3 linked regions of the Caenorhabditis elegans genome follow. The protein of the gene in region 2 purifies or fractionates together with the protein of the main gene of each other region. This does not show direct contact. Each region holds a gene or a part of one and is shown on either strand. Other genes may lie near its edges.

Region 1 (8,563 bases), on a different chromosome or scaffold from region 2:
TTGAACTGGAAAAGGTCGCTCTGAAAATTTTTCAATGCATTTTTTTTCACAACTTTCGAGGTCCGTAAAATGGCTACAAATGTGAATTTTTGTAGATTTTTGATGATTTCTAAGATGTTCACGGCCGGTAAACATTCAGATTTTGTTTTTGGGAATGTTTAAAAATTTTTGAAAAAAATCTGAAATTTCGCAATGGACATGGATTCAAAAAATCGAAAAAATTCCAAAACAAATTTTGAATGTTTGCCTGCCCCTGAAAATCTTAGAAATCATCAAAAATCTACAAAAATTCACATTTGGAGCCATTCACAGACCTCGAAAGTTGTGGAAAAATGCACTGAACATTTTTCAGGGAGACTTTTTTCCAGATCAAAGTGGTCCTCTGCTGCTAAATTTTTGTAGGGGCCTATTTAAAAGATGCTCTTTCAAATGGCATAGATTTCATTCAGAAGTCCGGGATTAAGTGGAAATACTTAGATTAAAATATCCGAGAAAAGGTGTAATTTGGTTGTTTTTCGATTTAAATTAGACAAAAAAACAGAAAACAAAAGATTATGCGCCTTTAAAGATTACTGTAGTTCCGAACTTCTGTAGATTTTCTTCGATTTTTCATCCGTTTCTTTGAAATTTATTGAAAAACATGTGAAAATGTTTTTCAAATTTTGACGAATTAATGAAAAATCTGCAACAACGAGGAGTTGGGAACTACAGTACTCTTTAAAGGCGCACTCTTTTGTATTAACAAAAATCGGTCGCTTCGAGATCGTGTACCGTAGTTTTGGAGCACAATTTTAAAGTTGGAATAGTATTCAAGTTACAGAATTAATACTCACATCGTCTTCCAAATCTCCAGTTAGATCGAGTCCACTGACGAAAGCGATAGTCCCGTCGACAGCCACTTTCTTTGGAACTTTTACAGATGGCCAAACCAAACGATTCACATGAAATACTCCTTCTTTTCCTAATTTTCCAAGAACTCCAACACAACAACCAGTTGCACACTCATCCATTGAAATATTTCCTTCCAGACGTACTGTCTGTTTATCTGATTCCAATTCGATTCGATCTTCAATGCTTCCAGCGTATCTTTTCACTTCGTCTTCTTCGGCATCTTCTTCATAATCATCATAAGCCACTTTATCCTCGTTGAGCAACGATTTCAAAATTGATGGTCTTGCAGCTATTCTCTTTACAATAACGCCGACCACGAAGATTTCCTCGTCTTGTTTAGCATCGCTCAATTGTGAATGCGTGAATTTTCCCTTGCCTGAAGATAAAAATTAAGGTTTATTAGTAATATTATAATTCTAACCAATTTCACGTTCTGCATTTTCCAAAATACGAGGTTTCAGTTCCTTCAAGCGAGCTTCGTAGACTTCAAAGTACTGTCTAGTGAACGCACCTGAAAGAAAATAACTTTTTAAAGCTTAGAGCAAAATATAAATACCTTTTTTATCTTTTTCAGTGAGAATGTATCGATCTGAGACATTCTTATAGTTTAGGATGTTGGACCAAGCGGTTTCCATTCTTAAAATAAAGAAAAAAATCAATTCAAGAAGGCAAATTTGTCAATGTTGAAATTTCGCGGCAAATTGCGTTAGAGCGCGTTAACATTACACCGAAGTGAATTTCAAAAATATAATATTCACAAAGTCAACATATTCGATTCTCAAATGTTTAATCAAAAACATTTTATTTTCATAAGACACCATCAAATTAAACACATTCGATCCCATTTCAAATCACAATAAATTATATGGACGGGGTAATAGGGGATATTTTACAAAAAAAGGAACAATAAATAGAAATCTCTAAAAGTCGCGAGAGCAACTGGAAAAGAATAAATTAGGAATCTGGGAAAAAGCAGATAAAACAAATTCTATTTTTGCACTGATAAGGTGCTAGGAAAGCTAATATCTTAATTTTTACAAACCATGCTCCATAATATTAAAAGAAAATAGTACGGCGAGAGGGAAGGAAATGAATGTGTACAAAGAAACCGGTACAAAATATTAATTCTTCCAACATTTCTAATCACAAGATTTGCTTTGGCGTGATCAAAATAATATGAAGGAAGAACAAAGGGAACAATCAAGAGAAGCAATTCTATCACAGTATCAACGACTTAGGAAATGAGATCGCGGATTTTGCGATGGATATCCACAAGGTAATCAACGTATGACATATTAGCAGGACCAGCCTTGTCTTCCACTAAAAATTTCTTCATCCATGGCTCAAGGCCGCTTTTTTCCACGACAACGAACGTTTTTCGCTCTCGGATCCCACGTGGCAAAAGTTGAATTGCACGACGAAGAGCACGTGAATGACCATTGTCTTTTTCCGGAATTGTTCCCTGAAAAATGTAATTGACTAATTGAACGTAGCAATTGATAACTTACACTCTCGGTATCAATTTGATTTGTAGCACCAACACCAAACACGTCTTGAACCCATGTCTGGGGGCATGCAGAGCCAACCCAGACAAACAGAATAACACCGTTATCAATAATATAGGCTTTCGAATTTTCCAGGAACTCAGAACTCGCTCTAACAGGTTTTGGAAGATCCTTCATTTCTTCAGTATCATTGATTTGTAGATCAGAGATTGGCATAACTCTTGGATAAATAAGAGGCATGACATTTTCAGTTCGTAGCCCACGGATCAATTCCATCTGCCACACTTTGTCGTCGACTGTCATTTCACTTCCTCCACTGATCGCATCATTTTTCAAAATAGAGTTCACATAGAGCGGCATCAATTTCAGAGATTCAGGAAGAATCAGTTGTCCAAGTGGGGCACCTTCACTACACTTCTCTCGATAGGTCGCTAGGAATTGTGCACAACGAGAAGAAAGTGATTCTCTCATTTCTGAGCTTCCCTTGTCACGATTCAATTGAACAGCTTGCTTCAACATGAATGCTGTCAATGCTTCCGGATCAGCAAGTCGGTAAACTTGGTTGTAATCAGCAGTAACTGGAAGGCATAAGTTCAAAATTCGCAAACGGCGCTGTCCAGTCATCGACGTATACAGTACAGCGGTTTGAATGAAGGAAGCTGGATCTTTCAGACTATCATCATGTTTGATTTCTGTGATGAATGCTTTGCTTTCATCCAATGTAGCCAATTCCAAATCCGTTGAGTTTTCCATGTAAAAGGAGCCAGTAAAAGTGATAGGACGAATTCCTGTAGACGTTCTTACTCTTGCCATGCAGTCGAATGCAATTTTCTTAGAAACGTGTCGTTCCAACTCATTCAACATGCGAACACCGTCTTTATCGGCCTGAAATAAAAATAAAATTAATAAAATTATTGGTTTTTCTTTAAATTTACCGAGAAATACTGAAATTTGAAAATAGATCCTCCCGTAACTGCAGAAAGCTGACCAATTGTGGCAACATCAATGAAAGCATTTGGGAAGAGGAATAAATCGACAGTAACTCCTGACTTGACACATTGCTCTCCCAACTTCGTGTATGAATCTTCTTGTGGAACCAGTGCATTCTTTTCTTTATCTGTCCCGAGAAGAGATCGATCATTTTTGGATTTCAGCTTTCCCGGTGCATCATATGTTGGTAGAACAGTTGAAAACAGAATCACTTTTCCTGCTCTGTCGGCACACTTCAAAGCGTCAAGACCGGCTTGTACGACGGGTTGAAGAATGGTTTCGGTGGTTTTCGACTGCGAAAAGAGTTTAGGAATTTCAGCCAATGCGGCACGAAGTCCAGGAAGTGCCTCGTTGTAAGGGAGAAGAAGTCCATCGACCATAGGAACAAATGGCTCTTGAACATCAGCTAAAAACAGTACATATTTAGACAAATTTTTATAAGTTTATCAAACTTACACATTACGAGCATTTTTGGAGATGCCGACGAAATGTCAAAGAAATGAACCGCCTGATCGAATGTAGCCAATCCTATACGCATAGACGACTCGAGCTGTCCAGATTCTCTTGGCAAATTTCGAAGTACTTTCTCCAGATTTTGACAAAGAATTGGAAGCATTCCGTTTGAAATAGCATTGTAGGATACATCAATCATAAATATGAAGGCCGGTTCTTTTGGCGCGATTCCATTCTAAAAATGTCACTTAGAATTTTTGAAAATTGCGATTTTTTTAATTACGTACCTTGCAGTATTGTTTTGTAGCTACGAGATCATACGCTCCAAGACAGAGTTCTGGACGCATTTCAATATCAGTTCTTCTGCCTGTATGATCGAGATGGGCGAAATAAGCATCTTCGACAGAAGTTCGAGCATGGCAAAATGGACAACGGAAGGAGCGTCCACCATCTTGGAATTCCATAAACGGACAAATGTATGCCTTACAACGCTGGCAACGAATCGGTCCTTGTGGTCCCAGATCGACGACTGGTGGTTCTTTCTGAAATTGAAAATAATTGATTATTCATTTTTGAAAAATTAAAAAAAAAACCTCATATTCAGTCAGAGATGCGAATGGCGAAATGACAACGGCGAGCGGAATCTGCGATGCTTTCAAAATGTCATTAGTCTGTGGAGCTGTGTAGAGGGTTGATCTCATAAATTTGGGGTTGCAGTTTCCTTGATCTTGAGCGAAAGAATTTGTAGAAACAAGTGGCGGCAATTCAGCGTTCGGATATCCAGTTGGGAAGATCCCGCTACGAGTCGACGAATCATCATCAATAACTTGAACAGCACTTGGCATCATATTAGGATCAAGACGTTGTTGTCGTTGCTGTGGTGGGCCGCCGGGGTATCCACCTTGCATTCCCGGCATACCTGGACCTCCTGAGGGATATCCGCCGGGACCTCCTGGGCCTGGAGCTCCTGGAGCGAATGATCCTGGCATTCCTGGTCCTCCTGGGCCTGGGGCTCCCGGGGGAAATGATCCCGGCATTCCTGGTCCTCCTTGTCCTGGAGGGAATGCTCCTGGCATCCCTGGTGCAACTGGAGCTGAGGCTCCCGGAGGAAATGCTCTTGGCATGCCTGGGCCTTGTGGAATATCTGCTGGGCCAGAGGGATATGATCCTGGAACTTGTGGACCGGGTGGAAACGAGCCCGCTGTGGGTTGTCCTGGTGGAAATCCTCCTGTGCCAGGTGGGATGAACGAATTGGGCGCTTGAGGCACTTGTGGAGCACCTGGGTAAGCGCTAGGAGCAGAAGATGGTCCACCTGGGTAGCCTTGAACATTTTGTGAAGTGGGTGCTCCAGCTTGGAACGAACTTGGAGAGCCGCCTGCCTGTGGAAAACCAGGGATTTGTGGTCGAAGCGGAGTGGGTTGATGGATCTGATGTGGTTGTGGCGGCAGATGAGCTCCTTGGTTCATTTGCGGAATTCCCGGAGTCGGAGCAGGCGCTTGTTGCATTGCTTGAAGTGGACCTGCAGGTGTGGCACTAGGAGCTAAAATAGAAGTTTTAGCTTTGCCTCTATAAACACTATTTACCTTGAACACTTTGAGGTACAGCGGCGAACTGTTGAGGAGTTTGCTGTCTCTGTACTTGTTGCAATTGCTGTGGTGGAGCTCCGGGATATCCTGCTGGCTGGTACGGATCTTAAAATTAAACTTAACGGATTAGCGAAAAAAAAGCAACTCACTTGGGGGTTGTGCTGACGGAGTTGATCTAGCTCCAATAGACATATTATTCACAGATTGTGCCAAGTGAGACGAATTTCCATTTAAGCCTCCATTTTGATACTGTCCATTTGGTTGCTGATGGGGTGGAGGAAATCCACCTGGGACTTGAGCTGGCTTTTGCGGCGCTGCTAAAACAATTGTTGTATTATGCAAATGTTCATATAAACTCACCTGGAGGGGGAAATCCGTTTGACTGAAACTGCGGCTGTTGGTTAAATTGCTGTTGAGGATATCCGGGCATTTGCCCGTTTGGTGGCGGCTGATATGACATCCTGGAACAAGTATAAAGATTATTTTATATTTTTCAAAATAAAAAAGCTAGAAATCGAGCTAGAAATTAATTAAATCCCGAAAAGAACGTTGATTTTGCTGTAAAGTTCCATGTCACAGCGCGATCCACCGTGTACGCAAACGTCGCGGTGGGCAAATCGCTGCGAGACCCAGCGTGCTGCGTCTCTTCAGGCAACAGCTGTCTCTCTTCATTTCGGCACTTTTTGAATTTTAATTTTTTGTTTTGTTGTTTTTTTTTCTTTTTTCTTTGTTTCCGTAAATGGAAATGTTGATAATTATTTAGATTACACCTAGGCGATTAAAAATTACTATTTGAATCAGGATTCTGTAGGTTTTGAATAGAATATTACCCGCTAGTACTGCTTGTTCAGTTTAATTCGGGAAATCCTTCTAAACTCCAACTAGATGTGATAATAGACCTTATTAATAATATCGATGCACGTTTTTGTGTGCTCAAAATTACAAAAATTTGGCTAAACACATTTATATTCAAAGTAAGGTTTCAAAAAAAAAAAATTTCCTCACGATATTCATTAATGAGGTTCTTATTATTTATGCTAATTGTGGTATAGATCGCCAGCTGTTTCTCAATCCCTTTCTCGTTTTCCGTATTTCGTATTCAAACCGCACCGCCCTTCTCTGTTTTTCTGGATCTCACCGTCCATTACTGGCAACAATAGGAAAGAGTTTTCTTTTATTCTGACCTCTTCCCTCCCTATTCAGTATGTTTGTACAGTTTCCATTTACATTAGTCACTCGCTCACTTTTTGACTTTTTTTTTGCAATCTTTCGGCCCACTCAAACCCTCAAGAAAATGTATCAGTTTCAACTTTGTTCCTATAAATATTGATATCAGGGTGTCTACACGTTTCACTGTTTTTTTGTATCCCGGAACATTAGTAACACAAATGACCCGATTCCAATGGCAATTAGGCGCTTCGAATCCTTTCACCGTCTGCCACTTATGGTCTCAAGGTTAAGTTATTATTGTTACTGTCAGGTACTACCCATCGGATAAAAAGACGATTGAACATCCCTCACGAATGTTTAATTTCGAACTCTATTGAATATACTTGTAAGAAATATTATTTTGTGCTTATAGTTTTTTCAAAAAATGCTTTTAAGCTTCAGTTTGACAAATAAATTCGGCTTCGTTAGCTGAATTTCCCTTGCCCTTTCACTTTTGATCAATTAGTGCAGAACGACGGATGGTTTAAATTTTACGATTCCCTAAAGACTTCATTTCCCAGGCACGATGCTAAAATAATGTAATTGTGTATCAGAAGCGAAGTGAAATCGGTAGAGAACACTTGCGTCAGGTGTCACATATCCTTTTTTGGTCCTTTTCCTTCGTTCTATTCACGTCCATTAGGTATTTATTACTTTATTAGAGCTTGTTATGACGAATGAGCCGCGGATAAACAATGCATGTTCTTTTACTTCTTTTGAGTGTGTGCCGCCCGCATCCGCCGCTCAACACATCCATTATGATGCTAATAAGTTTTATCCTTATTTTGTCGGTCATGAATTATACAAATCCGCATTTATTTTACTTACCCGATTTTTAATGACAATTTTGAGTTATGAACTTGAAAGCATTGAAATTATTTTGATCAATTTGTGGGTTTTATTTATTATTTAAATTTCAAACCCAGTATCGTTATACTGAATACGACTCGTAAAATATCATAGCATTTTTCTAATTTTTAAAATAGGTTTTTTAATCAGAGAATTTTATTGACCTAGTTTCGACATTTCCGGCTGAATTAATTGAGTTTTTGTTTTATAAATTGAAGCACAATTTATCAGTTTTTTCGCAATATTTAGAAATATTCTATTCATTTTTACTGATATATTCAGTAAATCGAGACAACACTGCTCTCAAGTTTCTCGATATTTTACAGTGACACATGGAGTTAAAGTATAAAATACTGTAGGATCAGATGTAATCGCATCATCATGAAATCCGCTTTTGAATCCCTTAGCCTCTTCAGAAGGACACTCGAAACTAATTTGGTTTTGACCCGATTCACATCGTTCTTTTATTCGTTTACTATTACTATTAGAATACCGTCCATCATCCGCTCCCTACATGTTTTCATATTGTCTCCTTCGACATTTATAATGTTTTTATTCATATGTTTTCAGTCTATTCTTTCTTTCTTTCTTTATTTCAACCTGTATTAAAGAGCATCCACGTCATCGTCTCCCCCTTTCTCTGCGTTTCCACTACTTGACCTAGTCTCTCGATTATCGCTGACAATCTCGAATTTCATCACAACATCTTCTCTTCTTCGACGCTCACCAGTTGTGGCTAGTCGATAGGCACCGGATCTCCATGTCCTTCTGCCGGTCACGCTTGACTTCTCAGCCCTCCACCATGTTCATGGATTCAGTGATGGGAATTGGAATAGCTTCATAGATTTTCTTTCCGGACCGGTCTTTTTTGGAGATTCTTCTTCATTCGGGAAGAACATGTGTCTAACCACCTACGTCTCTCTAGTCTTGACCGCTCTATCGCTCCAATCCGTGTTTACAGACCTTGGAAAGGCTCGGCGGAGCGCGCACGCACCTCTAGTCGTCGAATGCGCTTGTTAATTACGGCAAACATACGTTTCACACTTTATTTTTCTCTTTCTCGACGCACATTTCGAATTT
Region 2 (9,908 bases):
CCGAACACCTAAACAACTTCTGTCATTCATTTTATCTTGTTTCACTTTTTATCCTTATCCTCCTCATTAGCATTTCATGGATTTTAAATCTTAATTCTTAATTCTTGAATTTCTTCGTTTCTTGACATTTCGTCAATAAAACTTGTTTCTTAAATTCCCTATTTTTCGAATTCGTCCATCCTTCGTCGTCGTCGTCTCGTCCCAAATCCCTTCCCATCATCCCATTCCATCCACCCGTCTTAATTCTTTAACTTCTTGACATTTCGTTAAGAAATATTGTTTCTCGATTTTTTTTTTTCAGGTTTACATCCAAGAACTTTTTTTCTTCAACATTCAGATCGAACAACTTTTTAAAAAACTAATTTTTCAAACAATTTTGCTTGATATTTGTAATATTTTCAAATTGTAAAAAACTCCTGAAACAATTTCAGATCGAAATTTTTGAGGTAGAGCTTTGCCGCTTAAAATTTTGCAGTAACATATCCTATGGAACATTTTCAAATGGCATCTTTCTCTCGCTTTGAAGTCTGACGGTAAAATGAAAACCTTCCCTTGTTAATAAAAACATCTTTATCGTAACAAAATTGCATCTATATTTTCTCTTTTCCTTTCAAGAAATATTCTCTTTTTAGCTTCAACTAAAATGTATCTTTTTACAGACCTCAATCAAACGACGATGCATGAAGGATGGATGGCATGGAAAAATGGAAGGAAAAATCCAAATCTGTAAGGATTTTTTGATGTTTTAACTAAACTGCAAGTTTTTACAGATGCTGAAAGATGTGATGGAACAAAATGGCGCTCAATGAATGGAAAGATCTGGACGATCGGGATGGATGGATGGATGGATTGGAACGATCGGTAGGGATTTGGGACGAAACGACGACGACGACGACGAAGGATGGACAAATTCGGGACGGATCGGGATGGACGGTAAGTGAATCCATCTTGCTCCTTCTTGTGAGTGTAGCGTCCCCGTTACGTTTACCTGGCTTGAACTGAACTGGTTTGCTTGAATCTTTCACTGTCCAATTTCTGAACCGGGTTCAAAAGTAGCAGGCAAGGGCTGCATTTTCGGATTTACTGCTACCCCCTGAGTTGATTTGTTTGGAAACAAGCAAATCTTGTACCGTACTCAGAGGCAGTGAAATCGATTAATCTCTTAATGGGAAATGCGAACTCCTGCGAAAATAAGAACAAGGAGACTGGAAATAGCGTCAAACAGACGAGGGCTTATCGGACGGTTCTTGCCACATAGGTAAATTGTAATGGGCGATGCTGCGCAGTTCTAACGGTACAGAACATCACTTGAAGTGCTATACGCTATACGCTATACGCTATACGCTATACGCTATACGCTATACGCTATACGCTATACGCTATACGCTATACGCTATACGCTATACGCTATACGCTATACGCACTGTAAATTCAGAGACTTTCGGTGTAATTCCGAAAGACGAAAAACCAGTAATAATTTCTCAATGTGATTGATTTTATTGGCACTACTGACAACTGATCCACTTTTTGCATCCAAACATAGAATGTTTAATTTCTAAAAATTTCATTGAATAAAAATTCATTTGAGCAAAAAAAAAACGAACGAAATAGTGTGGCGACATGAGAGAAAAAGAGAAAAGAAAAGAGATATTAAAAATATCTCGAATTCTGAAAACCGTATCGAGATCATCACAGAATTAGTAAAGAGGGTAATTTGGAAAATTAAAGATAAAAATAGAAGCAAAATGAGTAAAAAATGATACTAAAACATCACATTAAAATCATATATAATATAATCAATAAACAAATTCATGCTCTTTTAAATATGAGACGATGAATCTTCTTCCGACACTGACTCATTAAAAGTTCCGTTTTCAAGTAATGGCCGAAGTGACCGACGACGAGATGGTCGAAGTGATGGGCAACCAACAGAATCCGTATCAAAGAAATGACGATAAGTGAATTCATAGAAGGCTGGATTATGAAGACCTCGCACATTCGGCTTGTCAGCACGGTCATTGTCCTGGAAATTTGGAATTAGAAGTGTGATAGGTTTTGAAAGAAAACTTTTCAAGATTCCAAATTTAAGTTAAAAATTTGAGTAGTGAAACTCAATTATGTTTTTATTGGAGCTGCTATGTATAATAGTTTCAGAAACTCCACAATTAATTTACTTTAATTCAAATAAAAATTCTGTATTTCAAACTCAAATATTCATAATTTTGATGCTATCTTTTTTATGTCTACATACATAAAATTATATCTAACTTTTTTAGACACTCTAAACAAAGTTTAAAAGGAAAAACTCACTTGAAACGTTTCAAAATTAGAAGTGTCTTCATCGTGAGTGACCCGAGGAATATAAATATAATCAGCTCTCAGTTTTCTCAAGTTAACCCAGTCAATTCCCCTGAACCATGGATGATTTTTGACTTGTGCCGTTCGTTCGGCAACATCCTTCCCGTGAGATCCCAATCTTGACGACGCGTCACAAATTAGTTGCTGAAAAAGTTTTGGTCTTCACAACGTCTATTTAAACAAAAAAACTTACTTGAATCATCATAAGGCACTCTTTTGATAGATTTCCACAATATGTAAAATCAAGGAAGTTTCTCCAATTCTTAATTCGATGTTGTGTTCCACCAGGTGTATCATCATGAAATGGCACTCTTCCAAATACCATCTCATACAAAATCACTCCAGTCGACCACCAATCACAACTCTGATTGTGCCCGGTTTTGGCAATTACTTCGGGTGCCATGTAATTTCCTGTTCCAACAAGAGAATGGGCGGTTATCCGGCGGGTTTGTTGTCGAACATTTAGAACTTTAACGCTTTTATCAATAGCTGCAACTTCAGGAGGAAGCGAGAATGAATCGACACGATGATGGTCGTTTTCAGGTCCATAGTATCTAGAAAATATTGGATGGTTTCATGTGTGACTTAAATATTTTTTGCACAGATGTTGAGCACACCAACTACAATTAATCATTTGCGTCGCGCCTAGGCTCTATTCCATTAGACACCCTCTCTTTCTCGTGACAAATAAACAATACATAATCTTACCTTCTGTCATGAGTCCACCTCAAACCAGTGCACAATCCAAAATCAGTCAACTTAATATGTCCATGTTGATCAATTAGAATATTATCCGGTTTCAAATCTCTATGAATAAATCCAACATTATGAACATATTCAATTGCACATGCCAGTTCAGCAATGTAGAATCTAGCGAGATCTTCTTCAAATATTCCTTTTTGAATCAATAAAGTCATCATATCTCCTCCGGGAACATATTCCATTATGAAGTATAGACAAGCATCATCTTGAAATGAGAAGAAAAGACGAACAATCCAAGGAGAATCAGCTTCTGCCAGAATATCGCGTTCGGCTTTCACATGGGCGGCCTGAAAGAAAATGGTGTTTTTAGTCAAAAAGTTTTGAAATTATTTTTCGATCATATCGCTTTACAGTCACATTTTAAAAACTACTAGACTCACAATATATCTGATATATTTTCCTACTAGTAGCAAATATAGAATCAATTAAATTAAAAAAAAAAAACCTAGAGTATCAAAAATGTTAGACTTTGCAGTTTTCTTACTTTCTATTCAAGGTTTTATTTCAAACGTAGGACACCAATATTTTCAAATTTTTAAACCAAGATCCTAAACAAATAACAAATCCTACCTGTTGTTTCATTATGACATCCGCTTTTTCCAAACTTTTCATTGCATAAACCTTCCGAGTATCATTTTTTCGAACCAATGAAACTTTTCCAAATGCTCCAACACCAATATGTGAGATGACAGTGAAATGGCTTTTACTCATCTTTTGTCTTCTTAATCTCGTATATTTTGACTCTTTTTGTTGAAGTAATCCCAGCATTTTATTCCTCATAATATCCGGTAATTGAGCTGAAACCATCTCCTTTTCCAACTGTTTCATTCGTTTTTCTCGTTCTTTATATTGCTGTAGAAGTCGTTCAACATGTTGTTCCATATAAAATCGAAGCATATTTGGTTTACATGGTTGAACTCTTCGTGTATTCTTGATGTATGGTTCCAAAAGTGTTCGATCAATTGGGGAGCTGACTCGTTTCGGAGGTGGCTCACTGGGTTGATTGTATTGAGGAGGAGGAGGTTGAGCACGTGATTTCATTGTGATTTCGAGATTTCTTGGTTTGAAAAGGATCGGCCGGAAATCTTCATGATTTGCATCGGAAGTGGATGGAATCAGGCGAGGGTCGGGACGCAGCTGAAATCATTTTATTTTTAGGGTTTATCCCCGAACTTTATAACAATTATTGTTCTATTCATAAAATTCAACTGGGCTCTCGAAACCGATTCTAAAGTAGTTTTGCAAATTTTTGCTGATTATGGGTGTCTGCGAAGACAAAACTTTTAGTCTCTTATATTTTATGAGCTCTGTCAAAAAAATGACTCTAGAAATATCAGTTAAATATTTCAGAAGGTAGGAGTTGAATTTTTCTCAAATTTACCTCATCTTTATAGTTGACAAAATTCTTCCTATCGACATCAGCTGTATACCGTGGACCAATAATGAATGATTTGCTTGGAAGAGGACTATCACCAACATTTACTTTTGTCTGAAATTAAAAATGAATTTTAATATCATTTGAGGTCATAAAATACCGTATGAGGAGAAGCAACATTGATACTAACAACACTACTAGCTGTTTTTTTGTCCATTGATGTATGATAAAGTCTCTGGATATTATCTGCTTTTCGTTCTTCACTCCTGAAAAGTTAAAGCAAAAGATTTATAGAATCCTTCTGATATCGTTTAGAAAACTTACATTGTCTCGATGGAAATCGTAGATTTTGCTGGAGGAGGCGGTGGGGGTGCCATATTCTTGTTGTGATTGAGCATTGTTGGATTCGGTGGTGGCGCTTTTACAACAGGATGAACTTTCATATGCAGGTGAGTACGGTAGTTGTCTGTTGCAACTGGAGTCATTCTAGTGTTCACCGGAGATGAATCGTAGGCTGGTGGAGGTGGTCGAGACTGAAAATTTTCATTTATTAAAGTGTCAGGTCTGCCTACTAGGGGTGTTTGTGTGTACTTTATTGGACTCTTTAATTTATTTTACAAAAAAAATTTCAGAAGTTATGAACAGGTCACAAGAAGGTCCCCCTATTGCTTGAACTAGGAGTATTTTTCAAAGAAAGTTTTGGTCCATTTTCTTTTCAGCTTAAACTTTCAAACTTTGTCAATTTGGAAGTATATTTTGTTACTAATTTTAGTTGTTCACACGTGTCTCGCCGTTGATTAAAGTGCCTTTTCAGTTTACGGGTGCACTAAATATTATCAAATATGTGACCGAAAATGTAGCCAAATCAACAGAAAAACATGGAACGAACGACCAAAATATGAAAAGTGATAATCGCATTGACAATTTGGACTTTTTTCAAAACTGAACCACCGCAAACCAATTTTTTTAAAACAAAATTTTAAGTGGGACTTCTCAGAAAAAGTACTTTCCGATTCTTTAGTATTATATTTTTTCGAGAACAACTTACATATCCTGGTGAGTATTGTGGTGCATTGTTATTCATATGATATGCAGGAGTTGGCATATCATATCGATATCCAGCAGGATGTATCCTAATCGACTCTTCAGTTGTTGTAGAAGGTGTTGATGATATAGTTGTTGATGGATTTCCATTTCGAATCATCTCTTTTCCACTTCGAAATACTGTCTCATTGGCACCAGTATCCATCATTAAATGTCTTTGTGGCATTGGTGTTATCCGCATCTTGTGACCACCACCTTCTGTCTGAAAATATGATTTTTTCACTTTTGAACCACCACCCTTCACCACTTTTGAAGATCATAAATCGATTCATAGTTGACAATTTTCATAAAATCCCAAAGTTGAGCTGAGCCACCTATTTCATAATTTTTTATTCAATAGAATTTCTAGCTAGTTTGCTACAATTCCATTCTTTTTTTTTTCGAAGAAAAATATGACGCTTTCGGCCGGTCTATGTATAAATTTCAAAAAAGTTATGTTTTTTTTGGGCATACGAACTGACCTAGACGGAAAATTTGACGGACAATTTTCCCAGCCAATCGAATTTTATTTTTTACTCTCAAAATGTTTTTCCATTCGATTTCCAGGACCATTTTTGATTAAAAAAAAAGAAATGTGACTCACTCTAAAAGAATTCGAATTTGATACAGCAGCGCTCGAGACTGTCGTCGTCGTCGCTGCTGCATTTGAAGAAGAAGACGAAAAATTCATCACTTCCGCATTGTCATTGGTGATGTCAGAATGGCTGACGGAAGAACTTGACGGTGTTGCAAGTGATCCAAGAGCCACGTGACTTGATAATAAACCGGCTTCATGTTCGTAAGCTTTCAGCGATTCGCGAATTTCGTCGAGTTTTGCACGATGACGCCCCACGCGGATTTCCTGGAAAAACAATTGGTTTAATTAGTTATGCCAAATTATGGTACCACTGCCCAGATGCGAATTTTTTAGAATTTTTGTAAAAAAAGGATTTCTTTAAAGCAAAAAACTTTGCGTTTCTATGGAAGTTTTCAATGTTTCAACACTGAAATTGTACATTTTTCTGAGCAATTTATATATTTTTCATATGAAAAATACTGATTCATTGATTACGAAACTATTAAAAGGTGATGCTTCTAAATGGAATTTTAGGTGATTTCATTTTCTTATCAAAACCGCCATTCCAAGTGATAACGTCTGCCATGAAAGCCCCGCATTGTCTCGGAACGCCAAAGTGTTGAATAAGAAAGGGTGAAGTAATTTTGAGGATTTTTTTTTAAATTTTAATGAGTTCTACGAATCTTGAACAGATTTTGAAATTCAAATCAGGAAAAAAAAACATGGAACTGCAAAAAAAAATGATTTGCGATTATAGATGTATTTACAAACAATAGCAAAGCCAATATAATTTAAAAGAAGACCTTTTGAATAGGACCCCACAAAAAATTTAGCAACAGAAGAGCATTTTGAACTAGAAAAAATTGGTCCGAAAATGCTAGAGGTAATTTTTAAGTTAAATAATTTTTTAAACGGAAATCTGAAAGCATTTTGATCGAGTTGATTAGGGGGAGAACATTTTTAAAAATTTTATTAAAACTCCTAGAATTTTCAATTGCTCTTAATCACTGAAAAACAACATGTCTGCAAAAAATAGCTTTTGGAGCAAGTCTACAGCTCTCGAAAGTTGTGAAAAGAGCACTAAAAAGTTTCAGATCGTGACACTTTGCCGCTTAAAATTTACAACGATCTAGTTTAAAGGTCCTCTTTCAAATGACACATGGTTCAGCTGAAAATCTAGGGAGTGATCAAGCCAAACAGATCAAGATCTGAATCAATAACCCAATCACTTTTCCAAACCAAAACCTACTGAATTGTGATGGGCATCTATCGCTGAATTAGTAGAGCCAAATGGGATCGGAGCAACTCCACGTTGATGTCTGATATCAGAAGATGCACCATTTGGAGTAGTACCAGGGGCAGCAGGTCGCATTCCAGGGGAATACAATGCAAAGGAGGGCCTCCTGCCGAACACTGACAAACACACACACGGAGAAGGCGATGGGAATGGATTGAAGTAGAAGAAGAAGAAGGTGAAGAGATAGAATGAAATGATGAGAGAGACAGTGATACAAAACTTTCTGTGTCTCTTATCGTTATGTGGTCTCTTTGCTTCCCGCCGCTCTCTCTCTGACTCCCGCAGGAAGAGGAGAAAAGTCTTTACTCTCTTTTGCAGGACATCTCTCTTTGTCTTATTCTCTCGTGTTGTCTCTTCCAACATTCCTCATCCCTCGTCACTCTAACATCTCTCCCCGACTCTCCAACCTTCTAGTGCTCATTTTCTGCCGTTTAGTTTCCAACACATTTAGGACGCCTGTGTCTCGGAACCTCTCGCCGTATCATCAGCGGCCATCATCGCCCGTCGAAAAGACATACTTGCCGGTATCCCCCCGTCATGTCATCCAGCAGAAAGCCTCTCATACGGTAAGTTTTTAGAAGCTTTTTATAAAACTCTGTGTTTGAACAAATATTTTTAAAGATGTTTTCCTGTTTAAAATTTGAATTGAAAGCCGATTTTGAGAACAACTTCGAAGTGTTGAAAATTTTCCGGATTCAAAAATGTGCACAATTTGTAAAATTCACCAGCTTTACTGAATTTAAAACAAATTTTTAACATCTGTAGAAAAGGGGTGCTCCTTGCCCTCGCCGGTAGTGGAGAGGCACTCCAGGCGCCCCTGTTACTGTCGACTGTGCCTGCGTACTTTTGAGAATATATATTACCTTCAACATCTATATTTTAAATACTGAATATTGGAATTTTCCGACAAAAAAATTACTCTGGCTTAAATTCTCAACCAAGTTTTCAAATTGTTTCTGTAATTTTGCATAAGACCCAGTAAGTGCTATAGTACATCATCAGCTTTTGTAATTGAATTAGAAATACGTACTCAAGTGATTTTAGGTTAAAACTGGAAATTGGAGTTGTAATTTTTTCACTGGAATGATAACTCTATATATTACTACTGAAAGAGTCACAACTCTGTAGTTTTTCTTATTTAAAATGCAGTTTTGAAAAAATAACAGTAGACATAAGCTTGATACTCGAATTTTCTTGTATTGACTCAGTTTTCTGTGTTTTTATGAATTTTGATGATTTTTTAAATCAAACAACTATGCATTTCCTCTAATTCTACTACAAATCCCCTTTAATCTCCGTTTTTTTGCATTCGTCAGCCTATCAAAAATCGATGTCTCTTTCCTTTTTGTATCTATGACATCCACGCAGTCTTCCGTTTGCATAAAAACGAAACGGTGCGCCGCAGATGTCGCGTGGCTTTTCCCTTTTTTGTAACCATTAAACAAACATATAGATACATAGAAGGACAACGTTTAAATAAATATTCAATTTTTTTTCTTTCAGGAGCAGTTCACACTCGGATCGTCCTACTACAATGAGGAATTGGCCCCTTTTTGTATTTCTTATTTGCCTGGTAATATAATTAACAAGAAGTCAATGAAATTATACACTTTTTGCAGGTATTATTCTTTTACGCATTCTACGTATATCAAGCTCAAGGAGAAGTTTTATCCCAGACAAACGAAGAAGTTCGACAACTATCCGCCCAGCTGAGTCTCACCAAAGGAAAGCTTGTTGGTTAGTAATTTTCTGCCGTTTATCTGAAAATATAGTATCGTTTCTTTAGGAAGTATGGCAGATTTGGAATCAGCGAATAGTGAGAAGAAGTCAGTGTCAATTCAATTGGATGATATTACAAAGAAGAACGAAGAGTGTATGACATCCTTGAGAAATACGAAATTGAGAGTTGATACACTTGAAAAAGACGGAAAATCGAATACCGATAATTATACGTGAGTTGGGGAAAAATAACTACAGTAATAATCTACACTACTCCAATCAAAAACAATTCAACAAAAATCAACCTTAGAGCTCAGTTCATTAATTAAATGAATATATTTCTCCCAAATTTAAATAACCAACACTTTCAGAAAAATGCAAGAAGAACTATCAGCGCTCAAGGAAAAAGCTGAAGAGCTTCAACGAAACAACACTGCATTGAATTCTCTTGTCTCCACACAAGCACAACTCATCAACCAACTCAATCAGACTATTGGAATGTAGGTTTCAATTAACGTTACCAAAATATAATTTGTTTTTATTTTCCAGTATTCAATTCGAAAAGGAAGAACTCAAAAACGCTGCTCACCTTAACAACTTGACTCCAAAAATCGAGAAGCCAAAGGATAAGCAAGCGGAAGAGCAAAACGCAGAAGAGCAACATAAGGAAAAAGAAGTTACTGTGACGACTGTAACCACACAACATTCACGGGAAGAAGCTCAAGTAAAAGAGGATA
Region 3 (6,301 bases), on a different chromosome or scaffold from region 2:
ACAACACGACGATTATTGGCTCGGATAGTTGAAGCAGTGTCCTCGTCGCGGACGTACCATTCAAAGTCTCCACGGGCGTTATCAGTCCAGAGAAGTGGCTTGAAATTTTCGATTATTTGATTAAGCTGCTTGATCAGCCACTTGGCATCAACTTTCTTGGCAGCTCCAGTAGCACGGCACTTGTAGACGATGTCAGCATTACGAACTCCAGTGTTGGCGATGGATGCAGCCGATTGTCCGAAACCGCGTGATGATCCTCCACGACCACGGCTACTGGCAGAAGTAAGGCTTGCACGAACTGAAACAAAAATAAGTTGGCAAGGATATGAATAAATCTAAGCGTTACCTGGAACGGCAGGCTCGTCGTCGTCTTCATATCTGCTTTGAGTGTCTGGGTCAAGTCGAGCAAAACGATTCTTTGTACGTGACAATTGCTTCGCGTCACGATGCCCTCCAAACCCTTTGCGATTCATATCTGAAAGATTTGTATTTCATCGAGGGAAAACTGGTATCGAAAAATTAAATTAAAGGTGTAGGTGAAACACAAATAAATATGATATTCAAGAGAAAGCAATATTGAACATGAAAAGTTATAATAGACAAGGAAAAGTTAAATTTTTACTCATTTCGAAAGTGTTGCGAAACTGGGACGGCTGCCTCATTCCAGCCGGGAGATAATTTAGTTTTGCGGAAATCAGAAAACTCAATGAATCAGATTTTAAAACTATAATTTCACATTTGGAACACTAAGCAAAGAACGGCAATTCGAAAATTGGTGAAACTGAATCATATTTATGCAAAAAAAAATCTCGTGACTTTTATCGGTTGTGCAAACACCGTTACGCAAAAATGCAGACGAGCCCCCAATTTGACGACATAAACAAGAATAAAAAATGTTTTAGGCAAACATGTTTCATGCGAGTCAGAAAATGACGTGAATTCTCGGTTAGAATGATAGTAACACTTAAGAGGCATGATAAAAATCGATCATGCAAAATATTAATCGTTGAACAGTGATTTTCAATTTCGCCGACTACAGTAACCGCAAAAAGATACTACTGTAATATATGAGTAAATTTTCAATATTTCACTGTCACCTGTCAACAAAATATACATATTTCTGCAAATTCAGTGGCTATATAGATAGCAGTAAAAATACGAGAAAACGTTTTGTTCCCCGTAATTTTTGTTTGCTCACCACTCTTTTCCCATCTTCGCAGCCAACAATTTCCAAAACATCCGTCTCTCTCCATTGTTCTTACAACTAAAAGAATATGAAGAAGTACACCCCTGATTCGCGTCTTGACAATATTGCGCCTATTCCGACGCGTTTTGAACGTCGGAAGATGTTGCCAGACATCGGAACTTCAGCCGAATTCACATTCTCCCGTGTTCCCGTATTTCCCGGTTTGAGGAAACCGGGGTAGGTATTTCCACGAAAAGTCTCTTGAAAATGGAATTGTTTCAGAAAAAGAATCATCGCGATCTACCTAGCGAGTGCTTCAATTGGATTCGCAGCTGCTTGGTTTGGTGCTGCCACTTTTGATCAGGTCAATTTGAAAATTGATAGCTACAAAGACCGATTAGACATTGTTCCATACAAATAATTTTTAAAAATGAAGATTAACAAATAACTGTAAAATGTTGAGACAAAAAAAAACATGCTAGGTGTTGGTAACAAGATATGATCCGAAACTAGACATAAAAATACAAATAGGATGCCGTTTAAATGTATGAAAATATATAATTTTCACTGGTCAATGTCCGTTGCTGTCTCCACTAGCATGCGGTACTGATCGCCGCGTCTTTTTGACATCGAGCTAATGAACAGCTGATCGGAAACAATGGCGACTTTTCCTTCGCCTCTTGGAGCAACCATGAATGTTCTCGTAAAATAATTATCATGTTCCTCAGTGTTCTCGGGCTTTATCGCAGATGGTCCGTCACGAAATGTTCCATGTAATGTGAATCCGAGAAGTGTTGCCGAAACAAGGAACACGTCAACTACGAATGTATCCATCAGATGAATTGTGGCAGGAAGTCTCGAAAGTGCAACTACGATATCCATTGCACCGTGTGATATTCTGGAGGCCCGATTTGCGGCAAAATATTCCTGATTCAGAACATTGTGCGAAGTTCTCAGGTACATTCGATAGCTCTCACTTGAAATATAAATAATTATTAAAACCTTAAGACTTCAGACGGTACCTGTCCGGATACATGACAAATTTAATTGGGTCCCACAAGCAGACAACTGTATGCGTGAATGTTGACTGAAAAATATATGTTTATATTTACTACTGAAAAAATGCAAGAATCAGCACGTTATTTGTGTCGTACGCATCCAGAAGTTGCTTCCTTGTCTGCTGTCCATCTGCGCCATCGTAGATTTTGTAATATGTGATGATAAATTCTTCGACAAGAGTACGAACTTCATCACTGCCATAGTATCCATTCTAAAATAATTAGATGATTCGGGAATGTAGAAATATACTGTATCACCCTGAATGGAATTATCTGCTCGATTCTATTGTGATCTGGTTTTGGTTCGACTTCCATTCCATCCTACAATTTAGATAGAAATTGAAATAATTGTTAGGATATTCGTGAATTACCAAATTTGAACATTTTGGGAATGTCTTTTGAATAAAGTTGGCATACTCGGCACATTGCACAAACTTCTCGCAGACTGGATTTCCCTCGAAAAACACAGTTTCTACTGGAATCGTTCCTAACTTCTTCAATTCTTCTCCTGACGAAATCTTAGAAAAAAAAGTTATGAAATTTAAGAATACAAAAACTTTTAAAACCTGATTATGACTCAAGTCGAGGAATTTTAGAAACTTGGATATGCTCGAGAGAGAGGAGAGATGGTCCAAGTGACAGAGCCGATTATTCTGAAAATTACATGGAATTAATTATTTTTTCACAAATTAATCTAAACCGAGAATGAGATTCCGGAAATGCGAGGATATTTGTACCCAATATGCTGTAGAACTACCGACATCACTCTTGTCTTCGTGAGGCACATCAACATGTCCCTTTCGACAAATTCTGTGTTTTTTGAAAAGTTCGACAGGTTAAGAACATCGTCAGTCGCAACATAACACCCATCCACGACATCTTGGACAACCTTGATTTCAGCTGGCCTCAAGTTTGTGACATGTGTCTGGCGTGGTGAAGAATGCGATGAATGGGATGAAAGGCTGAGCCGTCCTTCGATATTCCGATAGCCTCGCCGATTTTGTCCACGCATAATCTTAAAAAGTGAGCATTTAGTTTGAAAAATTGAAGTCGATTTGAAGACAAGAAAATCACTTCGTAAATCTACAGCTACCGTAGTCGCAAGGTGTGTCAATCCATGCGAGACCTCCTCATCCTTTGCAGAAATCATCTAAATTTTTTAATTTAGCCCAAATATTTATTTTTTATTTTTTAGCTAAAAAATCAATCCTCAATTTTTTTGCGAAAAAATAGGTATGTTTAAATCGAAAAAAAAAAGCAAATAAACCGGTAAACGAACTTTCAGGCTGCAGTGCAGAAAAAAGCACCACGAATGACTACGAAGGATATTAAAAAGAAAGCAAAATCGCGAAAGTCCAAGAATGCGATCAAAAAGAATGCATCCAAGTCAAGGAAATGTGACAAAATCTCCACCCAAAATACCGGCAAGGTGGACACCGAATTTTATGAAGTTCAAGATATCGTTCGCTCGGTGTGTTTCTTATAGGGTTATTCAAGTAATGTTGTGAAATTTAAAATTGTATTCAAATACATTTTGATTTGTTCGTGTAACTCAAAAGGTAGTTGCCAAGAAAATTGTTTTCAAACCACCATAATTACAATATCTCAGAGAATCGAAGGACGGGAGATTCAATATACAGTCAAGTGGACGAACTGGAATGGTGGTGACACGGAAGAAGCTGAACGACGACTTGTGTGCACCGAGAAGCTTATGGGGTATGCTGCAAGGACATTGAAATCTTCATACGTAACGAATCTTGACTTTTTCCTCCGAAATCTGGATACCGCGCTTAGTGACTTAGTATTTTTCACGAACACTTTGATACCTTTATCAATCGTAGCGGAAGCCACTGTTTTCGGATCTTCGGTCAAGTTTGTCACGAGAGACAACATCGGAGCAAAGATTATGTATTTGAAAGTGAGTATTTTCTATTTACCCGTACTGGTTTAAAATCGAATTTTCAGTACATCAAAGAGCATAACCAGATGCATCTTCTACACTCCTTCCTCGTTCCACAAATTGATAGAGTCAACAGCAGTCATATTCAGTATGACAAGGAGATGAAATATCAGAGACAGATTTTCGAAGATTATCCTTTCGTCAAGATCTTCTACCCAACTAAGAAGCAATCAGTCCTCTTCCCTCCGCCTCCATTGCCAAACATCTTGTTTGAACCAGTTACAGAAGAAATGTATAAGAATCGTGAAAATTTTCCTCACTTTTTCCCTCGGAAGGGTATAAAAGCTGGATTCAACAATGTGAGCATTTATTATGTTTCTTCTGTTTCTTAAATTCACAAATTTCAGGTTCGGCCATTCATCGACCGGTTGTATTTTGCCAAAGACGAATCACAACAGCCAAAATATCTGAAGGAGGTTGATGAGAATAAGTACGAGGGAATGCGAAGAATCAACAAGGCGTATGTGTTTTGAAAAGTGTTTCAGATTTTAATTATTTTTATTTAGAGTGAACTCGAGATTCTCCATACCACTTGAAATGAGACAGGAACCCGGATCGGGCTGGTACATATTATCAGCTATGTACAGTCTCCCCAATGTTCCTCTGATGGTCATGACTGGAGTGGTAATTTTAAAAACTGTAATTGTAATTGTATAATATTTCATCTCAGATTCGACCAGCCGAAGTTGCTCGAGAATCTTTGCGAACTGAAGGAAAAGAGGTTGCATTCAGTTCTTTCGTCGAAATTCCAGGAACAGATTTGTGCCTCGATCGTCGAGAGTTCTATGACTTCTCAAAATTCATTCCCCACAGCGTGAGTTTTATTCAATTAACTATTCTAATAACTTGATGATATCCAGTGTAATCCAACATGCAATGTTCGTTTGGTTGAATCAGGAAACGACATTCCTGATCTCGTGATTTACTCACGTTTTCCCCTCGACGAAGGCAATGGATATGTGATCACCCTTGATTATTTCAAGGCTTTCAAAAAAGAGGTTGAGGAATACTTCTCAAAGGTTGTTGCTCCAGGTACGTTCTTGATAATTAGTTTTCCTAGATAAATGTCCTCATTCAGACGGCAAACTCTTCCATCTCCTCGAGAAGGATATCGACTTCGTGCAGTGCAAATGTGAGCACAAGTGCCGAGAGATTGTATATATCGACCAGTCAGCGAAGAAGAAGTCCGAGAAGGAGAAACTGACGTCGACGTTCAATGGCATGTCTCTGGTAGAGTCACCAAAAATCTGGAAGATAAAAAATGGTAATTTCCTCGAGTGAAACTCGCTGTAAAATGTTTTCAACTAGTTTTGTTTTTCGTTTTGTTATGTATTACATATTTATTCATTCAATGAAATTTTAATTTTAAATACTTGAATATAAAGCCTTTGTTAAAGTTTACAATGGGATTGATATGAATTCTTAATAGAGAAATTATTGTAGCTGCGCTGGCACATTACTTGGCGAGGCCAGTACATTCCAAGCTATAATTGTACAAATCCTGACAGGCCTGATCATCCAAGGCTAGTGGGTTTTCTTGGGTCAACTTGCAATCGGCAAAGTATTTTCCACTGATTCCACCGATCTTTTTGCCCAATGCAAGGAAGATTGAAGTTTGAGCTCCGTCGCGGCTGGTTTTCATGAGGAACCAACTGAAATTAATTTTATTTATTTTAAGGTTAAGTGTGGAAATTTGGCTTGGCTTACCGGAAAACAGCTGTAATCTGCTTGATTCCTGGTGTATTCAAAATGGTATTTCTCGCGAGCTCGGTATTAACAACTCCTGGGTGCAGGGAGTTAACAGTCACGTGTTCGGCTCCGTCCTTTCTCAATTCCTTAGTCAAGGCTCTTGCGTGCATAACATTTGCCAACTTGCTCTGTCTGTACGATTTCATCATTCCAAACGATTTCTTGTCATCTACAGTAGCCAAATTAATTTTCTCGGATTTCAAATGAATACGAGATGAAACATTGATGATTCGAGCGTAGGAAGACTTCTTAACAGCTGGCAGAAAAAGTTCGGTGAGCAGAAATGGTCCCAAATGGTTGCTCTGCCAAGTTTTCTCATGACCATCCTTGGTTTGCTCGTGTTTGCTT

The links.
Region 1: the proteins of wts-1 (region 2) and sec-24.1 fractionate together in Caenorhabditis elegans (co-fractionation; one large-scale study listed by BioGRID). This does not show direct contact.
Region 3: the proteins of wts-1 (region 2) and nxf-2 fractionate together in Caenorhabditis elegans (co-fractionation; one large-scale study listed by BioGRID). This does not show direct contact.

What each region holds. Positions count from the first base shown.
Region 1 is NC_003282.8:11,560,307-11,568,869, forward strand, and holds sec-24.1 (Protein transport protein Sec24C), read right to left. Parts: upstream 5,889-8,563; 5' UTR 5,886-5,888; coding exon 5,786-5,885; intron 5,743-5,785; coding exon 5,575-5,742; intron 5,531-5,574; coding exon 5,423-5,530; intron 5,380-5,422; coding exon 4,433-5,379; intron 4,382-4,432; coding exon 4,127-4,381; intron 4,075-4,126; coding exon 3,843-4,074; intron 3,793-3,842; coding exon 3,332-3,792; intron 3,282-3,331; coding exon 2,400-3,281; intron 2,354-2,399; coding exon 2,126-2,353; 3' UTR 1,680-2,125; downstream 1-1,679. Other genes in the region: pold-2 (putative DNA polymerase delta small subunit), read right to left, coding at 834-1,267, 1,313-1,402, 1,448-1,526.
Region 2 is NC_003279.8:10,290,320-10,300,227, forward strand, and holds wts-1 (Serine/threonine-protein kinase WARTS homolog), read right to left. Parts: upstream 7,609-9,908; 5' UTR 7,528-7,608; coding exon 7,405-7,527; intron 6,441-7,404; coding exon 6,183-6,440; intron 5,802-6,182; coding exon 5,544-5,801; intron 5,029-5,543; coding exon 4,820-5,028; intron 4,762-4,819; coding exon 4,656-4,761; intron 4,610-4,655; coding exon 4,502-4,609; intron 4,258-4,501; coding exon 3,691-4,257; intron 3,408-3,690; coding exon 3,067-3,407; intron 2,913-3,066; coding exon 2,552-2,912; intron 2,503-2,551; coding exon 2,311-2,502; intron 2,024-2,310; coding exon 1,820-2,023; 3' UTR 1,760-1,819; downstream 1-1,759. Other genes in the region: T20F10.2 (Si:ch211-1a19.3), read left to right, coding at 7,990-8,018, 8,956-9,025, 9,072-9,189, 9,239-9,404, 9,543-9,671, 9,721-9,908. UniProt on the Caenorhabditis elegans protein: Phosphorylates yap-1 which may negatively regulate yap-1 nuclear localization. Plays an essential role in larval development.
Region 3 is NC_003283.11:14,414,540-14,420,840, forward strand, and holds nxf-2 (Nuclear RNA export factor 2), read right to left. Parts: upstream 3,297-6,301; 5' UTR 3,257-3,296; coding exon 2,945-3,256; intron 2,898-2,944; coding exon 2,811-2,897; intron 2,763-2,810; coding exon 2,616-2,762; intron 2,566-2,615; coding exon 2,503-2,565; intron 2,457-2,502; coding exon 2,325-2,456; intron 2,274-2,324; coding exon 2,209-2,273; intron 2,163-2,208; coding exon 1,751-2,162; 3' UTR 1,608-1,750; downstream 1-1,607. Other genes in the region: nxf-1 (Nuclear RNA export factor 1), read right to left, coding at 1-298, 347-473; C15H11.11 (Cytochrome b-c1 complex subunit 10), read left to right, coding at 1,275-1,423, 1,469-1,607; set-31 (SET domain-containing protein), read left to right, coding at 3,557-3,715, 3,854-4,162, 4,210-4,503, 4,552-4,664, 4,711-4,828, 4,875-5,018, 5,065-5,236, 5,283-5,485; dhs-22 (DeHydrogenases, Short chain), read right to left, coding at 5,661-5,856, 5,912-6,301. UniProt on the Caenorhabditis elegans protein: Involved in the export of cellular mRNA to the cytoplasm. Plays a role in the nuclear retention of unspliced mRNAs.